Linked DNA regions of Canis lupus familiaris. The protein of the gene in region 7 interacts with the protein of the main gene of each other region in a pairwise test. Links are inferred from orthologs where the notes say so. Each region holds a gene or a part of one and is shown on either strand. Other genes may lie near its edges.

Region 1 (4,004 bases), on a different chromosome or scaffold from region 7:
AAGGTGCCCACAGAGGAGGCGCTATTTCCTAAAGGCAAGAGAACAGAGAGAGCTAAGATGTGACCTGGCCCCACCAGGTGGCATAGGCCTAGCTTGTGGTGTAGCGGAGAGAGTGGACACTGGCCTGCTTTCAACCCCCTATCTAGCTCTGCCATTACTGGAGAGGCTGCTGGGGCTCAAGTTTCCCATGCCTATACAATCCCTACCTCACACTAGCATTGCCCAGTGCCTGCCACATGACCAAACCAGTGCTCAGTCACTATTTTTCCTCCCCTTGTTAACCAGGTCAATTTCCCCTGAGTCATGCACAATTTCATTTGGGGAGGTCTAACGAGTACACTGGTCCCTTCACAGTCCTGGTGGTGGCACAGTCCAGATAATCTAAATTTATAGACACCCACACCCCTCCCTCACAGTTTCAGCCTAGAGCATCCTGGCAGGTGTCTGAAACTTGGTGTATGACTTGGGTCTCCCTGGCAGGTGTACCCATGAGGGGTATACATTCCGTGCCCTCCGTGCCCTCCAAAACCACAACAGCAGCACCAAGTCCTGCAGTGCAGGAAGTGAATGGCCCCAGAACAAGCTTGAGCCTTCTTAAACCACCCCCCAGGTTCTGTTCACCTTCTCTCCTCCTTCAGGCTGGCCTATCTCTGGGACCTACGCGGGGAGAGTTGTACTAGGTATAGACAGAAGACTTTTTCCAATCTCTTTATCACATGACCACTATTTCAAATCCTATTCCTGGGGCACCTGGATGGTTCAGTGGTTGAGAATCTGCCTTTGGCTCAGGTCATGATCCCGGGGGGCCCCTGAGTCCCACCCACATCAGGCTCCTTGTGGGGAGCCTGCTTCTCCCATTGTCTGTATCTCTGCCTCTCTCTCTCTCTCTCTCACGAATAAATAAAATCTTAAAAAAAAAATCCTATTCCTGCCCCTATCCCCAACCTCACCCTCAGGTTGGCACCCTCTTCCTGTCCCTTAGTGAGGCTGTGAACAAACCAAAGGCACAACACCCACCCTCAGGGGAGTAGTGGCCAGCAGAACTACATGGCATTTCAGTGGAAAGAATCAGACCTAAAGCAAGGTTCCTTGAGCTGTAGGAACCCTGTGGGCAAGCCATCCTGTCTAATGATCAGGACAAAGTAGCTTATAGTCTAGGCTTCATGAGCTGAAACTGATGAAGTGGCTGCTCACTACAAAGTTATAAGGATAAGGGGAAAACAAAGAGCCAGAATGTTCTTTTGTCCTGTCTTTCCCTCCTACTGAATATACTTGCCCAGACTGTTACAATTATCTCCACCTATTGAAAGAATGACAGAGTTCTTCTTTGTCATCTTGTTCTTCACAAAATCCTTAAGATACGGCTTTAGAAAACATGTATATATCATTTTGTTATGTGTACTAGATATAATTATGTAGTTATATATTATATATGTAATTATATATTAAATATATGTTACTATAAATAAATAAGTATATATATAGGATGCCCACTGGTACTCGATCCTGTTCCTACACACCCTGTACCTCGCTTTCAGGTAGTTACCTCTGCATTGGATTCCTCCAGCCTACATTTCAGCCCCTCTGGTTGCACAGCCATGATCTTCCAACAGTGCCTTAGGTGACTCTAGAGAAGCAAGGCTGCCCCTTTGTGACATAGCAGCAGGAGAAACAATCCAGTCAGGAGAACCCCACCAAGGAAACGGCTGCTTAGCAGGACAACACCTGAGACTCTCCAGACTGTCAAGACTTCATCCGTTTACGGGCCTCCTTTCTGAGTTCCCCTTCCACTCTGTCTTTGTATCCAGCAGGCCTCAATTCCCTTGGCACCTCCAAATCACCCTGTACCTCTTGGTCCACGTCCTGGGCTTTCTACTCATGGATTCAGTCATATGCATTTGGTTCCAAGTCTCAGTTCTAATTCTCTCCCAGAAATCCGGAATGGTTGTACAATAGCAAGCACCAAAACATTGAAGTCTGGGAAGAATGTGGCTTACTTCAGAGTGTCATAGAAACTGTAAGCATTATGAGGGCTGAGAGGTCTTACCAGGTCACCGAACCCACCTTCCTCATTTGAGGGATGACAAACTGAAGACCCAGAGTAGCTAAGTGAATTCCCCTTGGCACACAGCTAGTTGGCAACTAGAGGTCCCGACTACCCTGTTCATTCTACAATATCTTGCTACAGTCTTGAAAGAGGAGGGTTATTCCGGTTACAAGGAAGTTGCACCCTTCTGTGATTATCCCTACCTGAGGCAGAACCACATTGATTGGAATTTCTAGGCTTTCAGATCTGGTATCTCTTTTTCTTGCAATACTTGGCCTCGAGTGCTGTGGGAAAAGAGAAAATAAAACGATATCTGCTTCCCAGCCCATCCTCTGAGCTTCAATTGCTCAATCTGAAAAACAGATGACTTTCTATTCACTTATCCCCTCTTGTCAACTATGTACATTATGAAAATCTGAGTCTGAAACAATGTGAAGATAGTATCTGAAAAGATGCTTATCAATCTCTAGACAGAAATTAAGACAGATTTTATAGTTGGTGTTAAAAACCTTCCAAAAAGTCTTTGGAGCAGAGATACCCATACCTAATACCTTTTCTAAGGTTATTACTTCTATCTCAAGTAAAAAGCCATACCAATGTTAGGTGCCAGGTATAGGTCCTATGTAGGAGTTGGTCACCAAAACACTCAGAACATTCCAGAGGTGACATCACAAAAAAATACGGTGTTTTTCAGGGCTCATGGTCTCTCTGAGCATCACAGGTGGGAATGAGGCACCTGACAGGAAGAGTCACCCTGGTTATGTCTACCTGGCTGGTCAGGGTCAGTGTGACACACAATAACCCAAACATTAGCCCCCTATTTGGTCATCTTTGCTACTATTCATATCGCCACTGCCTGGCTGGGCTGTAAGCCCTACCTTCTCTCTAGAGCTAGCATCTTCTACTTGGAGAAATCCAAACTGAACTCATTTCAGACCAAGAGAAGCCACGGAGTCTGAGATATTTTCTGACACCAACCAATTCTCCAATTCTCTGAGGCCAACTGTATGTCCTATAATTCAATTCAATTCTTAGACAATCTACTTGGAGTGGGTGTCAGGTCACCTAAGTTAAAGGCCTCAGTCCCACAAGACTGCCTACACCAGACTTTAGACACCAGTCACAACTCTCAGGCCACGAGTATTTCTGAATGACCAGCTATGAATTGGCGGGGGTCCTACAAACCCCTCCGCACCTCTGTAATTTGCTAGGATAGCTAACAGAACTCAGGAAAACACCTTACTTACAATTACTTTTGTTATAAAAGATGCAGCTCAGAAACAGCCAAATAGAAGATGCTTAAGTCAAGGTATAGGGGGAGAAGGACATGGAGCTTCCACACCCTCACAGGTCATACCATCCTCCCAGCTTCTCCATGTGTTCACCAACCCAGAAGCTCTCCTAACCCTATTAAGGGTTTTTATGGAGGTTTCATTACCTGGTCGAGGTTGATTAAATCACTGGCCATTGGTGATTAAAGATTTCCAGCCCAACCCACCCCCCATCCCCCATTTCCCAGAAGTGGAGAGGTGAAATACTTGAAAGTTCCCAACCTCTAATCACATAGTTGATTCTTCTAGCAACTAGTGCCCATCCTGAAGCCATCTAGGGGCCACCAAGGGTCACTTCATTAGCATAAAGTCAGGTGTGTTCGGGGGCACTCCTTGTGAATAATAAAATCCTGCTTTAAATTCTTTTGGATATATACCCAGAAGTGGGATTGCTGGATTATATACAGTTTTATTTTTAATTTTTTGAAGAATTTCCATACTGTTTTCCCGTAGCTGCTGTGCCATCCTTTTACATTCCCATCAACAGCTCACAAAGGTTCCAGTTTTTCCACATCCCTGTCAAAGCCTGTTTTCTGTTTCTCCAAGGGTTTCTAGTGATTAACTCTCACACCACTGGAAAACTCAGTTCAGCTTTCCCTTATAGATGCACCTCATAGAAGCACCTG
Region 2 (3,018 bases), on a different chromosome or scaffold from region 7:
ACTTCAATATTGTTGTGTCTCTGGAAATAGGGAGACACCCAAAGAGAGGGAGAGAGACCGGGAAAGTCTGGTCGATGGAGCAGTCAGAGCACACACAACATTAATTGATTAAGTTTGCGATCTTATACGGATGTAGTTTGTGGACCCCCAAAACGATTATAGTAGTAACATCAAAGATCACTGATCACAGACCAGCATAACAAACATAATAATAATGAAAAAGTTGGAAATATTGCAAAAATTACCAAAACGTGACGTGAAGATGTGAAGTAAGCAAATGCTGTTGGAAAATTGGCACCAGTAACCGTACTCTACTGAGGGCTGGCACAAACCTTCAGCCTATAAAAAATATCTGCAAAGTGCAGTAAAATGAAGCACAGTAAAATGAGGTGTGCCTGCACTTTGTCCATGAGGATAGAGCTCTCTCTGTGGGACCCTTGCCTGTCCCCTGACCCCTTACTGAACTGAACTCCTTCTTGGATCCATATATGTCACCCTGTGATGCACACGCACACTCACATACGTACTTGTGCTTCCTGTCACCCACAGGTGTACACAAGTGTGCATGCTCCCAGACTTGCACGATCATGCTCACTGGCATGCACACTCTTGTGTGCCCACCCCCTCACAGGTCACACACATATAGTTGCACACACTCACACATATACACACATACACACATTACCTCCGCAACTGAACTCGTGGTGCTGGCATTCATTCCCACCCCAGAGGCTCACAGGAGAGACTGTGCCAGGGCAGCAGGTCTGTCACCCACCCTGCTCAACCTGAGCCACCCCAGCCCATGCCTCCCCTGGAAATCACAAAGGCACCTGGCCCAAAGAGCAAGTCCAGGCTTTATCCAAGTGAGCTGGCTTCCTGGGCTGAGTCCGTGCAGCTACAAAATGCCTGTGTACTCATCCCTGTCAGTTCCTCATTTATACAAAATGCAACAAAGCAAGCAACTCACACTTGATGACAGCGCAGGATGCATCGATCCCTTTTTCATTTAGCATCCCTTATCAACAACCATTAATTGAGCATCTGTTGTGTGCCAGACGCCAGGCTGGATGCTGGGGATTCAAGGAAAGCGGCTCTGGCCCCTGTCCTCAAGGGCTCTCGGTCCAGCAGGCAGGCAGATGCACAGATCAGCATGTGCAGCAGGGGAAGACGCTTGCTCTCACGGGGACCCGAGCCAGGGCCAGGGAGGCCAGGAGGCATCCTGGGGCTGACGGCACTGTCCCTGTGCTGTCCTTATGGTTGATGGCCACTATCTCTGAGCCTCCTGTGCGGCACACGCACACTAGCTCCCCACTTCCCTCCTTTCCTCTTTTGCCTTCAGCATTTGCTCTGTCCGGGGGACAGCTAGGGCCTCCCCTGATGGGGCAGAGGGACTGTGAGGGAACGGATGTGTCGGCGTGAAGCATGGAAATCACACTTCAGCCCATGGGGCTTGGTCTCTGTGGTCCCGTTGGTCCCCGTGCTCCCGCAGGCGGCTGCAGCCTCCTCCCTTGCCCCGACCCCCCTGGCCCAGTGAATCTCAAATTCATTGCCTTCCAGCAGAATCGCTGCTTGATTGTTTCCTGTTCTCCCCATGCAGACAACTGTCGGAGGAAAATGCCAACCTGCAGGAATATGTGGAGAAAGAAACCCAGGAGAAGAAGAGATTGAGCCGAACCAACGAAGAGCTGCTTTGGAAGCTCCAAACTGGGGACCCAACCAGCCCGGTTAAACTCTCGCCCACGTCCCCCGTCTACCGTGGCTCCTCCTCGGGGCCCTCCTCGCCCGCCAGAGTCAGCGCGACGCCCAGATGACCCACCCAGCGCTTCCACCCGGACGGACGGACGGAGTCTTGACCGGGCTGGCCCTGCGCGCATGCTCAGTAGCTGCATAGCTGCATCCTAAGCAAAGTCCTCTTCTGATCCTCATATAAGACTGTCCTGGTGTTGGCACTTAGGAAAGTGTAAACGGTAGTGTCTGATGTGCAAACGTTTGACCGTAGTTAGAGCCAAAAGAAAGGAAGAAACTCCAGTTGTTCTTGAGCAATGAACTTTCACTGCAGAATTTCAGGTTCGTTACAAATAGCTCAGTTTTGAATATACATTGAATAATCCTTGTGTACTGCACCGATATGTGTGTATATTTAGATATACGTATATACACATGCAGCGGTTCTGAATTGCATTTTTTATAACATGAAGTGCTGACATATTTTGGTGAAGGTCAGCAGTTTTCTAACTTGTGCCTAAGAATTATTGGGATATGAAAATGCATTTCTATCTAGCTTCCCAGGAATATTTCTACCCAAAATAGAAAAAGGAAAAAAAAAAAAAAGATAGAGAAGAAGCGCCTTTCAACCTACCACCAAGTGGTACTCTAACACAAACACCAGCGATTTGTGAACAGTAACTGCCTTTGGAACAGTCAGCTTCTTAGTCAACATGATGTGAGGTCACTATTATTCCATTCGCAAGTTTTACTTATTAATACTCCTGTCGTGAGTGCCTAAGGGATAGCAGTGGGAAATCCTGAGGGGTTTAGCGGTTTGCAGATGCTTCTCACGACAGTGAATCATCTACAGTCTTGTAAACACAAGATTTGCTTTTTTCCTAAGTGACATCTTAGAATCCATCATTAAGCTACTACACCCTTGGGAAAATATGGAAGAACATAACCTTCTGGAGTGAGGGTGAGGATGACCTTGGAGCTGGCCAAGACCATCCGCGCTCTGTCCTCCAGAAGGAAAACTGCTGGTAGGATCTGTATCTTGATTGAGCACAGAGTAGGAAGGCATCCTCTGGCATCCCATGTGGTGTGCTCCAATGTGATTCTATAAATTCTATAAATCAAAATATGACCCTCAGGCCCCCACTTCATAGACAACCATCCCCCCTCATCAGTTTGGTCCTATAACTCAACCCCATAACTGTACATTGAGATGGCTCAGGGGTTCTTGCAGGGGCTTCCAGAAAACTGACCCTTCCATCCGGGGGATCACTTTGCAGCTGTGCTCGATCATCA
Region 3 (2,654 bases), on a different chromosome or scaffold from region 7:
ATCTGTATCATCTTGCATGTTTTCCGGTGTATTTTGGCACCATGTTAAAAAATGAATAAATGAATAAATGAATGAATGACTTTATCTTTTGTAGGAGTTCTGAGACATTCCTTCTCCCTCCCATAAAAGCTTAGAACCCATTGATAACACTTAATCCTACGGAGCAATCTCATAAGTCATAGCAATTGAAGTGGCTTTTTTTTTTAATTAAAAAAATTTTTTTTAAATTGAAGTTCAAAAAAAAAAAAAAAAAAAAAAAAAAAAATAAATTGAAGTTCAGTTTGCCAACATACAACACCTAATGCTCATCCTGTCAAGTGCCCTTCTCCGTGCCCGTCCCCTCACCCATCCCCCCACCCATCCCCCCACCGCCTCCCCTTCCATTACCCCTTGTTCGTTTCCCAGAGTTAGAAGTCTCTCATGTTTTGTCACCTTCTCTAATTTTTTCCTGGAGAGGCTTCTTAGTGGAAGAGATGGGGTTTGAGCTGATTTATGAAGAGAGACTATAAGGGCTAAGGAAATAAGCAGCTCAAATAACTGGCTCAGGAAATAGGATTGTGGGAATTGGGAAAAACCTGGGTAGATTTAAGAGGGCATATGTTACTAGAGGTGAAGCCACTAGGTAAGGTGTAATCCGGGTTTGGTAAGCGCTAAAAGTTATTTTATCTTTTTAAAATTTAGGTGGTTAAAAAAAAAATAAATAAAATAAAATAAAATTTAGGTGGTTTAGTTTATCTTGTTTTAGAAACTTTATTTTTAAAATTTAAGTTTATTGATATGATTCACAGATAGTAAAATTCACCCTTTTAGGTATAGTGCCTCCATGTATCTTGACAAATGCATTTAAGTTCTATAACTATTACCACAGTTCAGATAAATTTCTGTCATCCCAGAAAGTTCCCTTATGCTACTTTAGTCACCTTTTTTTCCACCCTAAGCCCTTGGCAACCACTAATGTGATTTTGTCCATACAGTTTGGCCTTTTCCATAATGCATTGACAGGTTTTTAAACATAGTGCACTGACTTAGTTTTAGGAAGATTGGCCTTGCAACTTATTCAGGTTGGTTTAGAGAGACAGGGATGGGGGCAGGAAGGCCAGGGGAAGAATCCAAGCTGGACTTTAGCCCTGGTGGTCTGTGTTTACCAACCTTATAGGAGGTAGAAGAAGATGATCCAGTGCCTGAGATCCGCCGAGATCACTTTGAGGAAGCCATGCGCTTTGCCCGCCGTTCTGTCAGTGACAATGACATTCGGAAGTATGAGATGTTTGCTCAGACCCTTCAGCAGAGTCGGGGCTTTGGCAGCTTCAGGTAATCACGTTATAGTGGGCAATACTTAAGTTGTCTTGGGTAACTGTACAGCCAAGGTTGTGGGAGTCCTAAGGAGGCTGGGGTTAGTTGTGAAAATCCTACATAGGCCCTATCCTAACTCTCTTTTTTGGCTCTGCTTTTGTGCATGCAGATTCCCTTCAGGAAACCAGGGTGGAGCTGGCCCCAGTCAGGGCAGTGGAGGCGGCACAGGTGGCAGTGTATACACAGAAGACAATGACGATGACCTGTATGGCTAAGTGGTGGTGGCCAGCATGCAGCGAGCTGGCCTGGTTGGACCTTGTTCCCTGAGGGTGGGGGCGCTTGCCCAGGAGGGACCAGGGGTGTGCCCATGGCCTGCTCCATTCCTCAGTCTGAACAGTTCAGCTACAGTCAGATTCTGGACAGGGGTTTCTGTTGCAAAAAAAAAAAAACAAAAACAAAAAAAACAAAAACAAAACAAAAGAGATAAAATAAAAGCGATTTTCATTTGGGAGGCGGAGAGTGAATTACCAACAGGGAATTGGGCCTTGGGCCTACCCATTTCTGTTGTAGTTTGGGGCAGTGCAGGAGACCTGTGTGGGTGTGAACCAAGGCACCACCGCCACTCCCCACAATAAAGCATCTGCACTTCGCTCAGTGCTACCCAAGCCCTCCCTTCTTCCCTCTACCCAACCTGGGCAGTAGGACGAAGGGCCACAGTTGCTGGGTGTTTATATAGAGAGTAGGTTGATTTTATTTTACATGCTTTTGAGTTAATGTTGGAAAACTAATCACAAGCAGTTTCTAAACCAAAAATGACATGTTGTAAAAGGACAATAAACGTTGGGTCAAAATGGAGCCTGAGTTCTGGCCCCTGTGCCTGCTTCTTTTCCTGGGAAGGGCCTTGGGCTACGCCTTACTGTCAAGGCACTCTTCAAATGTGAAGTACTGAAAGCAGGATTGCACCCTCTTCCCCACCTGATTAACAGTGGTATGATCTGCTGCCTAGTGCCTTGCCCCATGACTGCATGGGAGGTAGTGCAGCCTGCCCTGATGGAGCTCTAGTTGTGGAGAATATGGTATTCCTCACCCGTGTTTGACGTGGATGGTAAAGCTAGGCCTACAGAGCTCTCTTTTCCTGACCAAGGACTGAATTGGGGTGCCCTCCCAAAATAAGGGTTGTAGAAAGATAGAACTTCTGAGGTGGGTGTTCTTTTCATGCATCTAAAAGTCCTAAACATTTATGCTCTGGTTGAGGATCACTTATAATTATGTCCACCTTTACTTTATGTAATTTGTATTATATAAAAAAAAAAAAAAAAAAAACAGTTTTTTTCTAATATGAAATTCTAGTATTGGATGTG
Region 4 (4,226 bases), on a different chromosome or scaffold from region 7:
CATTAAATTGGCCAGCATCACTAACACGCTGGTCCTCCGTTCCCACGTAATACATTCCTTTCCCCTACATTTGATTTGTGCACAAGGGTTGGCTCTAGGACTGCATTTGCTTGAGAAAACCTTTTTTTTTTTTTTTTTTTGCTCTGGCCTGCCCGGAGAGAGGGGAAGGCAGCCCGCTGCAGGGGTATGGAGAGCTGTGACTGGGGACCATCTGGTGGGAGTTGGGGCGCTGGGGGTGAGGTCCCTAGGGTCAGGCGTTTGAGAACCCAAAAGGCAGGAAGTTGCAAAGCTGGCCGGATGGGTACCTACAAATGAGGAATATGGAGGAGGCTTGGTTTGATCCAATTTACCGTCATTAAGGAGAGCAACCTTGCCCCTCCATCTGTGGTCAGGGCTCAGATGGCCACTGGCATCCTGGCTTTTTCAAGGACAAAGGGTAATCCTGTAGTTCAGGCATCAGATAATTTTGACTCAAGACTAGATAATAAATAATTTAGGCTTTGTGGGCTACAAAGCAAAATGGAGAGATTATTATGTAGGTACTTCCATAACGAGAGAAAACACATGTTTGCAACATTTTTATTGACAAAACATAATAATTTGGTACAACTTTTTGCAGTACACAGCCACTAATGAGAGGAAAGGGTTTTGGGGTTTTTGTGTTTGTTTTTTGAAGGGGATTTTTTTTTTCTCAATTGGGTTGCGAACGTCGTACAGCTGTGATCACGCAGATTGCGAAGGTTCTTGTGTCAAAGCAATGCTTAGCTCTCCGGTAGGAACAGGCAGCGCCGGGCACCTGGCCCGCGGGCCGCAGTTTTGCAGCCCCCCGTAGCTGCACACCGGTCGTCTGCAATGGGTTTGGGGTATTCCGGGTCGAGGGGTCGCTTGCGGTTGCCGGGCACGTCGGTCGCCTCCTCCTGCACCCTCCCTCGGTGTCCAATTAGTCCGGCACCTCCAGGCAGGGCAGAAAGGTCAAGAACGGGGTCAAGTGCTCCCGGTCTGCCGCCCGTCCTACCGCAGCTCCGCCCCCTCTAGCTCCGCCCCGCTCCCGTCCCGCCGCGGCGCTTTCCCGCTCCTCCGCCCCGCCCCTCGAGCCCCGCCCCGACTCCGCCCCCTCCAGCCCCGCCCCTCTCCGGTCCCGCCGCGGCGCTTTCCCGCTCCTCCGCCCCGCCCCTCCAGCCCCGCCCCGACTCCGCCCCCTCCAGCCCCGCCCCGACTCCGCCCCCTCCAGCCCCGCCCCTCTTCGGTCCCGCCGCGGCGCCTTCCCGCTCCTGCGCCCCGCCCCTCGAGTCCCGCCCCGACTCCACCCCCTCCAGCCCCGCCCCCTCCAGCCCCGCCCCTCTCCGGTCCCGCCGCGGCGCCTTCCCGCTCCACCGCCCCGCCCCCTCGAGCCCCGCCCCGACTCCGCCCCCTCCAGCTCCGCCCCCTCCAGCTCCTTTCCCCTGCGCTCCTCCTTTGGTCGACAGCCGCGCTTTCCCGCTCGCGTCGCAGCCTCCGGTGCCACCGCCGCCTCCGCCATGCCCAACATCGTGCTCTTCAGCGGTAGCTCGCACCAGGACCTGTCCCAGCGCGTGGCCGACCGGCTGGGCCTGGAACTGGGCAAGGTGGTCACTAAGAAGTTCAGCAACCAGGAGACCAGGTGGGGGGCCGCGCCGGCGGCCGGGCCGGGCCGGGGAGGGCACTGGGCGCGCTGCCGCGGGGCCGGGCGGGGACCGTCGCCCCGCTGCACCTCGCCACCTCCCCCCCCGGGGACCACTCCGCGGCCGCCCGCTCCCCCTTCCGGGGCGGGACGCTCACGACGCGGCCTCCGCGCCACCGCTGCGGCGCCCGGGAGACGCGGAGGAGGGCGGCCCCTGGCCCGGAAGGGCGACCTCGGGGCGCCCGCAGCGTCGGGGCGAGGTGGGCGCCGCCGGCGGGAACCGCTTGGGTGCAGGGCACGCGGCTAGGGACGGCCCTGGGCGTGCGAGTCCGGTTTCCCGGTCCCCTCCGGGCGGGTCCCAAGCCCCGGGCGTGCGACCGACGGCTCCGCCCACGTCCCCAGCCCGGGCCGCGCGCCGGATTCACCTGGGGGCCGTTTAAAAAGCCGCTTCCCCTCCCTGCCCCGGAGCTTCTGCTCTGCGGGCGGGGGCGGGGGCCTTTTCCAAGCCCCCGGGTGAGTCCCCAGCAGCCGGGGTGCAGCCCGCGGGCTTACCCGCAGGGCGTGTTGGTGCGGAGCCTTTACGGAGCGTGAGAGCGCCCGGGCGCACGTGCTGCTTCCCGGGGCTTCCTCGAATTTTTCTGCCTCAAAGCTGATGGCTTTCATCATCGTCGTGGTTGTGCGCCTCGGCGGGGTCCAGGGCAAGGCCGTGGCCCAGCGTGACTGCCACCCGGGTCTCGGTGCAGCAGCCGCGGTCGCCAGGCCGGCGGCCCGCCTCACAAGCGGGACGGGCTCCGGTTTCCACCTGCCTGAGTCCACAAAGCTCTGAACCAGTTTCAAGTAGCTCCTATTTAGCTCCTTCCCGAAGGATCCAGCGCGCCCGCGGTTACCGATCACTTCTCGCTCTGGCACAGGTCCAGGGCTACCACCACTTTCCACAAGCGGAGCGAGCTGCCAAAACGACAGCAAAACCCATCCATGCTTCCCACTGTTTCAGAAATTAACTTGAGACGGATCGCAGACGTACATGTGAAGCCTGGAACTAAACATTTCCAGAAGAAAACGAGGGAGAGGGGATCCCTGGGTGGCTCAGCGGTTTAGCGCCGCCTTCGGCCCAGGGCGTGATCCCGGGGTCCTGGGATCGAGTCCCACGTCGGGCTCCCTGCATGGAGCCTGCTTCTCCCTCTGCCTGAGTCTCTGCCTCTCTCTCTCTGCATCTCTCATGAATAAACAAATAAAAATCTTTAAAAAAAAAGAAAAGAAAAAACGAGGGAGAAGACCTTGAGGACTTTTGGAGTAGACAGAAATTTTTTAGACGCTGAGGAGTTCATGAATATTAATACATCTGGGGAGGATGGTGTTTTAGAGTCAGCTTTATAGGCTATGTGCAGCCCTTCCTCCAGGTGGGAAATCACCACACAGACAGTCCTGTTGATAAGGCCAGCAAGGAGAGATCGCTCGTGAATGAGTAACAGGTGGTAGATGTGCGGGCGGCCCTTGCCAAGATTTCCGCTTTGCAGGAAGGGTTTAATACAGAAGTCTGGGAGGATGGCGTGGAGGGCTCTGGAAAAGGCTACTATAGCTAGGTGTCAATGTTGTTGTATCTGGCCAGCCCTATTCAAGCTTCAGCAGCTAGACGGAGAATGGGATACGAGGTTTTGTTCACCAGGTGGCATCCTGTAACTAGAGGAGAAATTTCTGGGTGAAGTAGATTTTGAAAGCAAGTATGTTGGTCTTCCCTGTTTCCCCAGGGCAGTGCAGTCCTTTGGTGCTCCAGGAGCAGAGTTAATCCAGCTTAGAGATGTTACTGTTGCATTTCTGCCCAAGATACTGTATGTACTGTTGGCTGGAACTCATTGAGACATTGAAATACAATTGCGTGTTTGTTTTAACTCTGTTTTATTTGGTTTTGAGTATTTTATAGCCACCACCTGATAACTAGAAATCCTGAGGTCTCAAAAACCATTCAGCATGAAGTCTGGCAATTGCTTGTCACAGACTAACAATAGTTAGTACAGTATATGTTTTTTTGTTTTTTAACAATTCACTCTTCAAAGATTTTATTTATTTAGAGTGTGCATGTGAAGGCACATGTGGGCAGGGGGAGGGGCAGAGGGAGAAAGAATCACAGGCAGACCCAGAGCTGATCTAGAGCCCATTGTGGGGCTTAATTCCAGGACCCTGAGGTCATAACCTGAGCCAAAATCAAGCGTTGGATGCTTAACTGACTGAGCTACCTCGTGCCCTTGTTTTGTTTTTTAAAATATTTTATTTATTTATTCATGAGAGAGACACAGGAAGAGAGAGAGGCAGAGACACAGGCAGAGGGAGAAGCAGGCTCCATGCGGGGAGCCCCATGTGGGACTTGATCCCAGGTCTCCAGGATCACACCCTGGGCCAGAGGCAGGCGCGCTAAACCCCTGAGCCACCCAGGGATCCCAATGAGATTATAATTGTATACACTGAACTATCACGGTCTGCTCCTAATCACGCCCTAGACTGAAGGCGGTGCTAAACCACTGAGCCACCCAGGCTGCCCTGTTTTGTTTTTTAAGTAATCTCTATACCTCAGGTAGGGCTCAAACTCACA
Region 5 (3,500 bases), on a different chromosome or scaffold from region 7:
TTTCAATATTTAATGCCAGCTCTCAGAAGCAGTAGGTGGGAGTGTAAACTGGTACCAACTTTCTGGAAAGCATTTGGCAACATGCATCAAGAGCCTTAAGAACTCATGCTTAAAAAAAAAAAAATTCATACTTTTTGGGGCGCAGAAATATCCCCTCTAATAATCAACTAAAGGAAATAAAGATGTGGACGTAGATATAAAAGGATGGTCATCACAGTGATATTTACACTGACAAACAGCAGAAATCAACCATAAGGTCCAACACCAGGGAACTGCTTAAATAAGTTATAGTATGTCCATTACGATAGAACCCTATACAAACATGTTAAATATTTTAAAGGCCATTTAATGACATCAGGATCCAAAGTTGTGTTAAGACCTCAAAATTGTATGTGCATTATTCCCAACTTCTATATATGTACACATGTACACGTAAATTCGTAGAAAAAGGGCTGTGGCTTTAAAAATGGGTGATGAGATTATGAATGACTTATTTTGTTATTTGGGATTTTTCTAATTAGGAAGCACGTATTGCTTTCATGAGAAGGAAAAAATATATTTTAAAATAAATTTTAAGAAATATTGGGATGGGGCAGCCTGGGTGGCTCAGCTGTTTAGCGCCGCCTTCAGCCCAGGATAAGATCCTGGAGATCCAGGATTAAGTCCCACGTCACACTCCCTGCATGGAGCCTGCTTCTCCCTCTGCCTGTGTCTCTGCCTCTCTCTCTCTGTCTCTCTGTCTGTCTGTCTCTAATGAATAAATAAATAAAAGTCTTTAAAAAAAAAAAAAGAGAGAACTACAAGCAAGGCGGAAAATTATTTTTAAAAAAATATTGGGACACTTGGGGGGGCTCAGCAGTTGAGCATCTGCCTTCGGCCCAGGGCGTGATCCTGGAGTCCTGGGATCGAGTCCCCCATCAGGCTCCCTGCATGGAGCCTGCTTCTCCCTCTGCCTGTGTCTCTGCCTCTTTCTCTGTGTGTCTCTCATGAATAAATAATAAAATCTTAATTAAAAAAATGTAATGCCAGGAAAATATCTACTTTGAAGAACTGCACGTCTGACCATAAGCACAGCTGTTCTTACTGTACTCCTAGTTCTCTTTTTGCCACAGCTGCCAGAAATGCCAGAAATAATATGTCCTAGAATTGATATAATTTCTTCTTTTTCCTTCAGTTCCAAGTGTCTTCTTTTCCCCTGCCACTAGCCTTCTGTGTTATAAGTCCCTCCTCCCAAGTTCTCCAGAATCCTCGTGGCCAAAACTAACACGCTGTGCAGCCTGGGCCAGCCTTTCCAGGGAGCCCTGCCCTCTAGTAGCCACACCTCAGGGCCTCCTGCCCGTGGACTGTGAACTTTGGAGCCCTTGACCCCCATACCCTCTCTGGTCAAGCTTTTCCACGTCCTCTACCCGCATGCCGAAGATGAAGAAGTTTTCTTCTCCCGCCTCCTCTGCCATCTCTACATTGGCTCCGTCCATGGTGCCAATGGTCAGAGCTCCATTGAGCATGAACTTCATGTTGCCAGTGCCTGAGGCCTCCGTGCCTGCTGTGGAGATCTGCTCGGAGAGGTCAGCAGCTGGGATCACTGTGGGGCAGCCACAGGGTACAAGCTCAGTTCCGGGTACAGTCCCACCCCAGCTAGGGACTGTGGAGTTAGGCTGGCCATAGGTATAGCAGATTCAGAGCCCCCTCCACCCTCACCCTCCAGAAGTAACCAACTGAATCTCCATCTCACCACCAGCCTCCCCCAACTGCTTAATGATCTTGAACACCTGAAATCTAACCTGGACTCTCTCCCCACCTCCACCCCACTGTGTGTGTGTGATTTGAAGGGCAAATCTTCCCACTAATTTCAATCTTCTCTATAATTTCATTCTGTACTGCCTGAAATTACACCATCAGAGGGGGACATCCTTGTGATTTGAGGATTGTCCTCTCCCAGATTTTTCTTCCAAGTGCCAGTATGCTAAGGAACAGGTGACAGATATTCCTTCCTGGCTGAACTCCTCAGAGCCTCCCTCTGGTGGCACCCCACCTTTCTCTGCCAGCGAGACTCGGTAGTTCTCCAGGAAGATCACACGGAGGCGGTCTCCTACCACTGGGTCGTGGTTAACCACATCCCCAATGGCTGTGATGAGTTTGATGATCATCTTGGCCATGTGGTATCCAGGGGCAGCCTGTGGGGGCACAGTCTGGAGTCAGCTGCACAGCCCAGCATCCTGCCCCTATCCTGCAACCCAGCCAGGCCACCCTCAACCTGGATGCCAAAGGACCAGAGCCACAGTCTGTGGCCTGACTTCTCACCTTCCCTCCAATCATCACAGTTCGGGGCACGACAAACCTATTGGGTTCCTGCTTGATGCCTGTGGAGAAACACAGAACAGTGGGCCAGGTTTTCCCTCTTGGCAATACCTCCTGACAGCATGCATCCAGCCAGGGCCCTGGCTGAGAGATAATAGACCTGATTTGGACAGCCACTGGCTATGTAACCTCCAATCTCTCATTTCCCCCTCTCTGAGCCTCCATTTGCCCGTCTATGAAATGGAGATAATCTATGTCCCAAGAGTTGGCCCAAAGCCAAAAGAGAGACACTGAATTGGAAGTATGTAGTACACCAACAGGTGTACAGAGGGGAGCCCTGAGAGCCAGAGTGAAACCCCGCCACTCACGATTGTACAGGGTGATGATGTGGAGGCAGTTGAGGAGCTGGCGTTTATATTCATGAATTCGCTTCACCTGGATGTCGAAGAGCGAGTTGGGGTTGATATGGACTTTGTATTCCCTCTCTAGGTAGGCAGCGAACTTTAACTTGTTTTCCTGAAGGTGGGGATGGGGAAGAGCTCACCAACAGGACTTAGCCTCAGTGCCATTTCTTGCCCAGAAAGGTAGACGACGGGAGGTTCACTTGCCACCTTTCTCCACGCTGGGCCCAGAGCAGACATTGCTAATCAATGTTAGCACTCTTCCGGTGGAGTCAAATGATGCGCTCTCACCATGGACTCCAGGCAACTCCATCAGGGGCCTAAGGCTGAGGGAGAGTCAAGCTCCCTCGGCCATTCCCGACCCGGGCACCCAGCACCTCTGGCCCACTCCTTCCCACCCTGGCACAAGTGTCCCAGGTCATAGCACTGCCTACCTGCTTCACTTTGGCCACATCCCGGATAAAGGCTTCGTCATCCACGAAGGAGAGCAGTTTGCGCAGCTGGTCCAGGTCTGAGATGTAGTCCTCCCCAATGCGCTGTGGGAGATGGCTCACAGTCAAGCCTGTGCCCCTTTTTGGTTCTCCCTCCCGGAGGGGTCCCTTTCCAGCTCAGCCAAGCCCAGTCCCTGCAGACACCCCCTCCTTTTCCAGCCTCCAAGCAGGGATGCAGTGTGTGCGGGGCACTGCATTTTCCCTTCAGACCTGGGACTCTGATGGCTGACCCGCCCTGACCCCAGGGGGCCTTTCTCCTGGCCTTCTCCTCAGACATGCAATGACCTTGAGGCCCTGCTCACAATCCATG
Region 6 (4,097 bases), on a different chromosome or scaffold from region 7:
CTCTTGCAGGGCGTCTCTGCTGCCCTCTGCACATCTTTTCCCATCTTTTTCTGCTGATCAGCTCATTCTGCTCACAGAGTGTCTCCCCAATCTTAGCCATATGGTGCCCATCGCTGCAGCCTGCGAAGGCTCATCCAGGTCTGTGTGACCAACTCACATCGCCAAGGGGCAGGCACACTAGAGAGAGTTGGGGGCCATCCATGGAAACAATCTATCGAATCTGGAGAAGGACAAGTCTAAACACACTTACCCCAATCCTAAAAGTTTTTATTGTTTCCCCCTTCCTCCCACACGAGGTTTGGTTGGTTTCCCCCACCCCAGGACATGGTGGAGGCTGGGCCTATGCCTCCATTCTGTACCCCCTTCCAGCCACATGCCCTCCAGTATGTTCTGCTGCTCCCGTACACCTGTGCCGACCTCGAGGCTCCCGCAGAGATGCCCCTTCTGCTTCCTGATCTATGCCTCGGTGGCATTAGTGGCTGCACCCCGGGCTCCGCACCAGGAGGGCACAGGGATGGTGGTCCAACAGGCTTTGCTTCCCAAGCCCCTTTCCTACCCTCCCTCTCTAAGCCGCTTCAGCTTCAGAACCGCCCGAGCTCTGCAGGTGGAACCTGTGAGCGCGAGCCCCCTACTGGCCGTCAAGGGGCCAGCAAGAACGTGGGTTCAGAGTCCCCGGGTGTCTCCCCGGTAAGGGTCCCCCGCCAGGCCGAGGGGCCCCGGTGTCGCCACTGACTTCAAACGTCCTTCCGCCTTGGTGGGGAGTAGCTGCCAGCTGGGCCCGCTGTGGTGCGGCGGGCTGGGCGCCGGGTCCTGCTCGAGGACGGAGCTGTCCACCCGCCACCCTCTCCCTCCGCAGGATGGACTAGGGTCGGCCATCGGATTCCCAGGGACTTAGCTTTGGGCGGGTGGGGGGAGGCTAAGGTTTCCATTTTCCCCTTGGAGGATCACCATCCTGGGAAGAAAAGTTGTCAGGCCTCTCCTCTGTCGGTGCCCCTGATCCCCGAAATCCCGAATCCGCCGCAGCCCACAAGCCTGCTCCGGGGCCCCTCCTCCTGGGAGCCCGACACGCCAAAGCCTCCCTAGTGCCCGCCCCCCGCCCCGCATTCACTTGGGGAGTCAGCTGCCCCGCAGGGACATCCAGCGGCAGCAGCACGCCCGCAGCGGGGAGGGCGAGTTTGGCGAGCCCCGGCCCCCGCCCCCCCGCGGCCCGCGCGCGCACCCTCCCCGCCGCGGCCCGCCCCCTTCCCACGCCCGGGACGCGCCTCCTGCAGCAGCGCAGCCCCGCCAGCGCCGCGTCCCCGCCGCCGCTCCCGCCCGCCCGGTGGCCTCCGGAGCATGGAACCCGGGGAGCCCCGGGCGCCCCGCGAGCCCGGCCCGGGGGCAGAGACCGCGGCGGCCCCGGGCTGGGAGGAGAGCAAGACTTTCTACGACAACCTCGCGCCCAAGAAGAAACCCAAATCGGTAACAGCAGGGCCTGGGGACGGAGGAGGGCAGGGGAGGGGGCTCCGCGGGAGGGGCGGCAGTCCCCGGAGGGGCCCGAGGCAGCGCCCGGGGGGGACGCGGCTCCTCCGCCCCAGAATGTGCCGGGCCTTTGGCGCCGGCTCGCGTTTATTTTGGGAGCTGCGCGCCGGTGTCTTCTTGTCCCCGGGGCTCGGGTTCCCCGCCAGGGCCCCCTCCCCCACGCCGTCCTCGGCCCGGCTCCTGCGCGAGCGGGCGGCCGGGGCGCGCCCACTGCACTTGGCGGCGGAGCGGGTGCGCGGCCCGGGCTCGGGTAACCGACTCTGGAAACCCGGCCCCTCGCGGGGCGCTCAGGTGCCCCCACTGGGCTTCGGGCTCCGGACCCGGCGCCTGCGTTCGGGCTTCTGGCTCAAGGCCCTGCGCTCCGGCTCCGGCTGCTGCGCCGCCTGCGTCCTCAGGGAAGGAGCGGCGCTGGGCTCTGCGCCACAGCCCGGGCCTCCGCGCCCATCGCAGGGCGCATCAGCGCCCCCGGGCCCCCCGGCCGTCTCAGCCCTGGGAGACCCACACAGAGGCGAGAGCTCCTCTTGCCATCGGTCAGATCCCTGATGTCCCGGCTGTCCCTGGGCCTTGCGCATTCCGAGCTCTCCGAGCTTGGGAAGGGGACTGAGCAGGAGGTTGGCCCAGAGGCATCCTCTAGACGGTTCCCGCCTGACCTTAAAGCATCCTGCTGCTTCCCTCCAAGGGCCCTTCCCCAGGAAGGGGGCAACAGTCACTCCACAGTCATTCCCTGCAGCATCTCTAGGCTCTGCTCAGCAGTGGGAACTGGGAGATGAATTTGGTTGAGTCCCTGCCTCAGGAGCTCACGGGGGCTGGGGGAGACCGGGACATGGTGAGCGCTCAAAGCAAACACCCTACATGCAGCGGAGGGAGCAAACAAGAGTGAGTGACTGCCACTGAGGAAGGCTCTGCAGACCTAGCCTTTGAGCTCCTAGCCTTTGAGCTCACCGTGAAGCCTGGGTATGCAGCATTTCCCAGGCAGACAGGGAAACAAGCCCCTAAAGCCTTGGGGCTGACTTTGAACCTGAGTAGGAGAATGCAGGATCTTTGGAAGACACATGGGAGGGATGCCAGAGATCCCACACAAGGCCTTGAATGCCATACTAAGGAGCCTAGGTGTTCAATGAGGTTAGGGGTTTTAAAACGAGTTTCCACTAGGGCCCCATGTTTCTGGAGGTCTGAACACTTATGGATCCAATTTATTTTCCTTTTTCTTTAAACTACCCCCTAAACAATTAAAAACGTGTAATAAAACTCAATTCACTCTAATGCATTAGATGGACATCTTAGCACCTTCGATTGATTACACCAGTATACTAATTTATACTGCAGGTTGATTAGGTGTTTTTGTTGTTTTTAGTAAACTTCAGATTAAAGCTTTTCCTATAAACTGTTTACTAGAAGTTTATCTTGAGATTGCTGGCAATTATTGTTGCTGAGTACCTTGAGGCCCGTAGTTTAAAACAAAGCAAAAATTTTTTTACCACTTGCAACCACTTATTGGTGTGACTCAGGACTTTCTCAATACTGTGTGCACACACCAACCAACACCGGAACAGATTGACTAGACAATGAAGTTTAAGTCTGCACGGGCAGCCTAACCCCCAAGTTTCAAATTTATTACTTATACAACCGTGCTGTTTCCATTGGTTGACAAAATAAACATAAGTAAATAACAAATAAGTAAATAAAATTTTTTGTATGAATGTATGAATGAACTAGTAACATACATTTATGCTAAGAAACTATAGCAATATCTAATTTACATATTGGGGTTCTCCCAGGAGTCCATTGAAAGAAAAAGTCAACCTGCTTTTTAAAAAGGAAGAAAACCATTAGTCCCATTTCATTCGAGCAAGATCGCTCTGGGGCCCCGTAAGGGAGGGATGGGAGAGTGAGTCTGGCAGCAGGCAGACCAATGAGGAGGCTGGTCTCTGCCTGAGGAGGAAGTTTGACTAGTGTCCTGGCCGTGGCCCAGGAGATGGACCCTGGGGCTGGGGTGGTGAGTGGAGCTCACCAATGCATCTCCATCCCAAGTAGGGTGGAACCAGGGAGCTCAGGCCTAGTTGTCAGCCATGACCCCTGAGGCCTCATGGTCCTCCCAGCCCCCACCCCTTCCTGCGGTAACCCCTCCTCCCATAGGCTATTTTGGGGCCTTAGACCTCTTGGGCCCCATTAGAGCTTATTCTCATTCCCAGGAGCCTGAGTGGAATATTTCAGCCCTGAAGGCCTGTAGGAGCCTCTCACCTCAAGGGGTCAGACATCTCCTCCGTTCAGACCTATCTTGTCCCTCTCTCCTCCAGCAGCTCTTCTCCCATAAGACTTTTTAGAAATAACAGCTTTTGGCTGCCTTCCTCTCTTGGACCTGACAGGAGGAGAATCATGTTGGCCTACATGAGAGCTGGCTCTCCTCCATTACCGCCCCCCCCCACCGGACCCCCAGCCCTGGGGAAAGGCGGAGAATTGCCAGGACCCTAGCTCCCTGGAGCCCACTGTTCCCAGGCTGAGTCCCTGCTCTAGGAGAAGGGTCCCCCGACCCAATTCCCACTCTGGAATCCAGATTCTTTCTGTGTTCTGGAGAA
Region 7 (4,179 bases):
TAAGAGGGCTGTAGGAAGGTTATTGCCAAATTTGGGCTGTAAGGTCACAGAGGAACTGGGTTTGAACCTGTGGCTGGGGCAGACCCCACAGGATGTACTCAGGATCACACTCCCAACTCTTGTACTGCTCTAGAAACTGCAAGGAGCTTCTTCCTCCAGCATACTTTACTCAGAAGGCTTAACTTGGTGCCCGCTTTGAAGGAGAAATGCTCAAAGTAATTGCTATTTATCACAGAGCCTATGTCGAAGTGTGTTCAGAGCTGAGAGGCAATGCCTTGATAACTGACACAACGACATATGCTCAAAGTGTTTAGGATTTACATATGGGCTTTCGAACTCCTGACATTGGGAAAGCCTGACTGCAGATAGCCTATGAACAGACTAAGAATTTAAGTTTTTATCATGGGAAGTACCCTGATGAGTTATGCATGCTCATTACTAGTCTAAGACAATTCAGAAGGCTATTAAGTATAAAGTGAGAGTCCTTCATATCATTCATTCATCAAAGATAAATACCGTTTTAATAATTTGGGGTCTTTCCTTCCAGGCTGCTGGCAAATAAAAATATGATTAACACGAAATGAATGCCATGAGGACTCCTTTTAAACTTTTAAAAACTTTACCAAGAATCACTATATTTTTCTGGGTCAACGTACACAATTCTAATAAAAACTTGTCACAGCGCGGTGAGCTTCGGGGTGGCTGGCCCCGGACGTATTTGGAATTCGGTCCCCCCTGCCCCTGCGCTCCCGCGGCCTCTAGGAAAAAACTGCTAAAGCTCCGTTTTTTACATACAAGGTTCTCTCATTTGGCGTCTCTTCTGGTTCCTCCACGGCTGTTGGCAACCCCAGACCCGGGCTGGAAGAGGGCCTCCGACGCCTCCGGGAGATCCCCGAAGCGCCATTTAGGGTTGGGCGGTTGACCAACCCCACGCTCTGCCCCCACTCCTCCGAGCGACCTGCGGGTGACCTCTGCCCTCTCCACGCTGACCTCAGTCTCGCGGGGCACGCCCGGCCCCGCCCCAGCCGCCCAGCTCCGCCCCAGGCCCCGCCCCCAGGAATTACGTCATCCTCCTCGCCCCAGGCCCCGCCCACTGGAGACCCACGCCGTTCGCCGCCCTGGATCCGCCCACTTGGCCCGGCCTCCACGCTCCCGGAACCCGCTCGGCGCTTCCCTCCAGGCCCCGCCCACCGGAACCGCCGGAGCCCGCGCGGCCCCCGGCTCCGTCCACCCGGAACTGGCACCGCCCTCCCTGGCGGCGCGCGCCCGGAAGCTGCGTCGCTCGCTCCACCCAGGCTCCGCCCGCCGGGTCCCTGGCTCCACCGCCCGGGAGGGAACTGCACCCCCGCCTCAGGCTCCGCCCGGGAGGCCCGCGCCGCGCGCCGAACGCCGGCTCCTCCCCCGAAGCCTGCCCGCGGGGCTGGTGCAGTCGCTTCGCCTCAGGCCGTGCCCGGGCCCCAGCCAGCCCGCCATGGAGGGGGATGTCCCCGCCGCCGCCGCCGCCCGCTACCAGCCGGCCAGCCCCCCGCGGGACGCCTGCGTCTACAACAGCTGCTACTGGTGAGGGGGCGCGGGCGCAGCCCCCGGCATCCCGGCTCCCGCGGTCTCGGCGTCGCGGCCGGGCCCCGCCTCTTCCCGGCCCCTCCCTGGGGGCGCTCTGGGTCTCGTCCGGCGAGGTTCCCGCGTGGGGGCTGAGGGAGCGGGAATGGCAGCCCTCGGCCCTTGAGAGGAGCGCAGGCACGGGGCGGGGGCGGATTCCCAGGGGGTGGGCTCGGTGGTGCATTACTAATGCCCGAAGCCTTTCGCTTGGACTTTTGTCGGCAGATCTCAGTGCCTGGGGGCCAGGAAAGGGGAGTTGGAGGCGGAGGGTGGAGCGCAGAGAACCGTTGCGGATTATCCTGCTGAAGCCTTTGTGGTTTCCCCACTGATGTGAAAGGTCATTTTAATTTTAGGAAGAGAATGGGAGAGCGGAGATTTTGCAGTAACTTTCCAAGGTCATCGGCTAATAGCAGCCAGGAATCCAATTCAGGCCTTCTTGTACCAGAAACCATGAGCTTAACCACCATGTTGTCCTGATCGTGCCCATTGTATTTACATAGCACTTGCTGTATGCCACTTGTTTGTTTGTTTTTTTTAAGATCTTATTTATTCGGGGGGGGGGGCAGGCTCCCTGCGGGCCCGATGTGGGACTCGATGGATGGATCCCAGAACTCCCGGCAACAACCACTGAGCCACCCAGGTGCCCCCCCAAACACTTTTTTTTTTTTAATTTTTTAAAAAATTTTATTTATTTATGATAGTCACAGAGAGAGAGAGAGGCAGAGACACAGGCAGAGGGAGAAGCAGGCTCCATGCACCGGGACCCCGACGTGGGACTCAATCCCGGGTCTCCAGGATCCGCCCCGGGCCAAAGGCAGGCGCCAAACCGCTGCGCCACCCAGGGATCCCTTTTTTTTTTTTTTTTTAAAGATTTATTTATTTATTCATGATAGACATAGAGAGAGAGGCAGAGACATAGGCAGAGGGAGAAGCAGGCTCCATGCAGGGAGCCCGACGTGGGGCTTGATCCCGGAACTTCGGGATCGCGCCCTGGGCCAAAGGCAGGCACTAAACCGCTGAGCCACCCAGGGATCCCCCCAAACACTGTTTTGATTGGCTTATGTAAACCAATTCATTTGAGCGGGGGTAGGTGTTATTGTTACCCCCGTTTTAAAGATGAGAACATCGAAGCACAGAGGGTGCAACTAATTTGCATAAGGCCATCCTGTCTAGTAAGTGAAGAAATGGGGATTTACCTGCAGGGTTTGGCTCTGGAGTCCACACACTATCCCCTTGGCCTAGGCCACCTGTGTGACCAAATCACCACTCCTACCTCTGTCTTTTTCGCTCGTACACTTGAGTAATTAATGACTTCTTCCCCAACTTTCAGTTGCAAAAGAAACCTTAGGCCCATCTAAAACTACCTTTTCCTCCTTTAGCTGGCGGTCAAACCATGTCACCAATTTACATCTGTTCCGCTCTGACTGCATGTCAGGGCTAGTGTCAAGTGTTTCCATCCATGGCTCCGAGATAGGTTCTGTCATTTACCTCATTTTATTAACGAAAAGAATGAGCCACAGACAAGCCATGTCCAAGGTCACACGTGTAGCAAGAGGCAGGGCTGAAATTGGAACTGTAGTACAGGAGTCCATGATTCTTAAAGACTGTACTTTAGTACTGCCTTACCTCTCACCTAAATCCTATTAGTTTTTGTCCCTAGCACCCATTCATTATTTTACTTGTTCATCTGATGTTTATTAGGCATGTGGACTGTGTGATATTACAATTGTGGGCACTTGGGAGACAGCAGAAAATAGATTCCCTAGTTAAGATCTTATGGTTCTTAATATTTTGGTTCAGGGAAAGCAGGCAAAACCACGTAAAACCATGTTTGGTGTTAAGTGCTATGAAAAAATAAAGGTAAGGGATGGTGACTCACTTTTATAATGGATATTTAGGGAAGGCGTTGTTGGTAAAGTGGTATTTGAGCAGAGATCTGAAGAAAAAAAAACCGGTGGGAGCTTTGTGGATATTGGAGGAAAATCATCCCAGGCAGGGGAGCAGTGGTGCAAAGGCTCTGAGAACGAAGTGTGCAGGAGTATTCTAGGAACAAGGTGGCTCGTACAGCGAGAGTGCAGTGGTCTGCTGGAAGAATGGTCGGAATGGATATCTCTTCAATAGATGGCCTCCCTTAATTAAGTTCCTTCAGCTGTGGGCTGAGCCCTCCTCGGCTGTCAGGGGCCTGTTCCAGCCCTTCCTTATAGGACTCTGCCCAGATCTGTTTCCTATTCCCTCAGGTCCTAAACCTTAACTGGCTTCACACTGCTAAAAGTCGTTCTAAATTCAAATGAGCCATAGAATCACTTGGGAGCTTGTAAAGTGTGCAGATCTTAGGGTTCTACTCCAGAGAGTCTTGGTGTGTAAACAGTACAGTGGAGGAGTCTTACACTCGTCCATTGATCACGTTTTCAGGAATATAGGCATAAACAGTAAAGTCTGTCTCCTGAGCATATTCAGAGATCTGGTCACTTGTGTTTCTGCAATCTTATTTTGAGCCTGCCTTCTATGCCCTAACCCAGGGTTTCTCACCCATGGCTTTATTGACATGTGGAACGTGCTAATGTTGTGGAGGGCTGTTCT

What was found.
Region 1: the proteins of NTAQ1 (region 7) and CBY2 interact in binary tests that used the Homo sapiens proteins (3 or more experiments, as listed by UniProt). The two-hybrid records come from large-scale screens. The link is inferred for Canis lupus familiaris from reciprocal best matches to the Homo sapiens genes NTAQ1 and CBY2.
Region 2: the proteins of NTAQ1 (region 7) and MTUS2 interact in binary tests that used the Homo sapiens proteins (3 or more experiments, as listed by UniProt). The two-hybrid records come from large-scale screens. The link is inferred for Canis lupus familiaris from reciprocal best matches to the Homo sapiens genes NTAQ1 and MTUS2.
Region 3: the proteins of NTAQ1 (region 7) and VCP interact in binary tests that used the Homo sapiens proteins (3 or more experiments, as listed by UniProt). The two-hybrid records come from large-scale screens. The link is inferred for Canis lupus familiaris from reciprocal best matches to the Homo sapiens genes NTAQ1 and VCP.
Region 4: the proteins of NTAQ1 (region 7) and PRPS2 interact in binary tests that used the Homo sapiens proteins (3 or more experiments, as listed by UniProt). The two-hybrid records come from large-scale screens. The link is inferred for Canis lupus familiaris from reciprocal best matches to the Homo sapiens genes NTAQ1 and PRPS2.
Region 5: the proteins of NTAQ1 (region 7) and PYGM interact in binary tests that used the Homo sapiens proteins (3 or more experiments, as listed by UniProt). The two-hybrid records come from large-scale screens. The link is inferred for Canis lupus familiaris from reciprocal best matches to the Homo sapiens genes NTAQ1 and PYGM.
Region 6: the proteins of NTAQ1 (region 7) and NT5C1A interact in binary tests that used the Homo sapiens proteins (3 or more experiments, as listed by UniProt). The two-hybrid records come from large-scale screens. The link is inferred for Canis lupus familiaris from reciprocal best matches to the Homo sapiens genes NTAQ1 and NT5C1A.

What each region holds. Positions count from the first base shown.
Region 1 is NC_049243.1:5,417,093-5,421,096, forward strand, and holds the start of CBY2 (protein chibby homolog 2), read right to left. Parts: upstream 2,801-4,004; 5' UTR 2,717-2,800; coding exon 2,642-2,716; intron 2,332-2,641; coding exon 2,251-2,331; intron 1,648-2,250; exon of another isoform or gene 1,601-1,647; coding exon of another isoform or gene 1,547-1,600; intron 1-1,546.
Region 2 is NC_049246.1:10,425,575-10,428,592, reverse strand, and holds the end of MTUS2 (microtubule-associated tumor suppressor candidate 2), read left to right. Parts: intron 1-1,597; coding exon 1,598-1,811; 3' UTR 1,812-2,518; downstream 2,519-3,018. UniProt on the Homo sapiens protein: Binds microtubules. Together with MAPRE1 may target the microtubule depolymerase KIF2C to the plus-end of microtubules. May regulate the dynamics of microtubules at their growing distal tip.
Region 3 is NC_049232.1:51,932,994-51,935,647, reverse strand, and holds the end of VCP (transitional endoplasmic reticulum ATPase), read left to right. Parts: intron 1-1,156; coding exon 1,157-1,311; intron 1,312-1,462; coding exon 1,463-1,568; 3' UTR 1,569-2,154; downstream 2,155-2,654. UniProt on the Homo sapiens protein: Necessary for the fragmentation of Golgi stacks during mitosis and for their reassembly after mitosis. Involved in the formation of the transitional endoplasmic reticulum (tER).
Region 4 is NC_049260.1:9,248,135-9,252,360, forward strand, and holds the start of PRPS2 (ribose-phosphate pyrophosphokinase 2), read left to right. Parts: upstream 1-1,426; 5' UTR 1,427-1,517; coding exon 1,518-1,639; intron 1,640-4,226. UniProt on the Homo sapiens protein: Catalyzes the synthesis of phosphoribosylpyrophosphate (PRPP) that is essential for nucleotide synthesis.
Region 5 is NC_049239.1:52,911,184-52,914,683, reverse strand, and holds part of PYGM (glycogen phosphorylase, muscle form), read right to left. Parts: intron 3,236-3,500; coding exon 3,134-3,235; intron 2,815-3,133; coding exon 2,667-2,814; intron 2,361-2,666; coding exon 2,302-2,360; intron 2,175-2,301; coding exon 2,033-2,174; intron 1,583-2,032; coding exon 1,375-1,582; intron 1-1,374. UniProt on the Homo sapiens protein: Allosteric enzyme that catalyzes the rate-limiting step in glycogen catabolism, the phosphorolytic cleavage of glycogen to produce glucose-1-phosphate, and plays a central role in maintaining cellular and organismal glucose homeostasis.
Region 6 is NC_049236.1:3,281,409-3,285,505, forward strand, and holds the start of NT5C1A (cytosolic 5'-nucleotidase 1A), read left to right. Parts: upstream 1-1,297; 5' UTR 1,298-1,335; coding exon 1,336-1,461; intron 1,462-4,097.
Region 7 is NC_049234.1:22,155,355-22,159,533, forward strand, and holds the start of NTAQ1 (protein N-terminal glutamine amidohydrolase), read left to right. Parts: upstream 1-1,379; 5' UTR 1,380-1,471; coding exon 1,472-1,560; intron 1,561-4,179. UniProt on the Homo sapiens protein: Mediates the side-chain deamidation of N-terminal glutamine residues to glutamate, an important step in N-end rule pathway of protein degradation.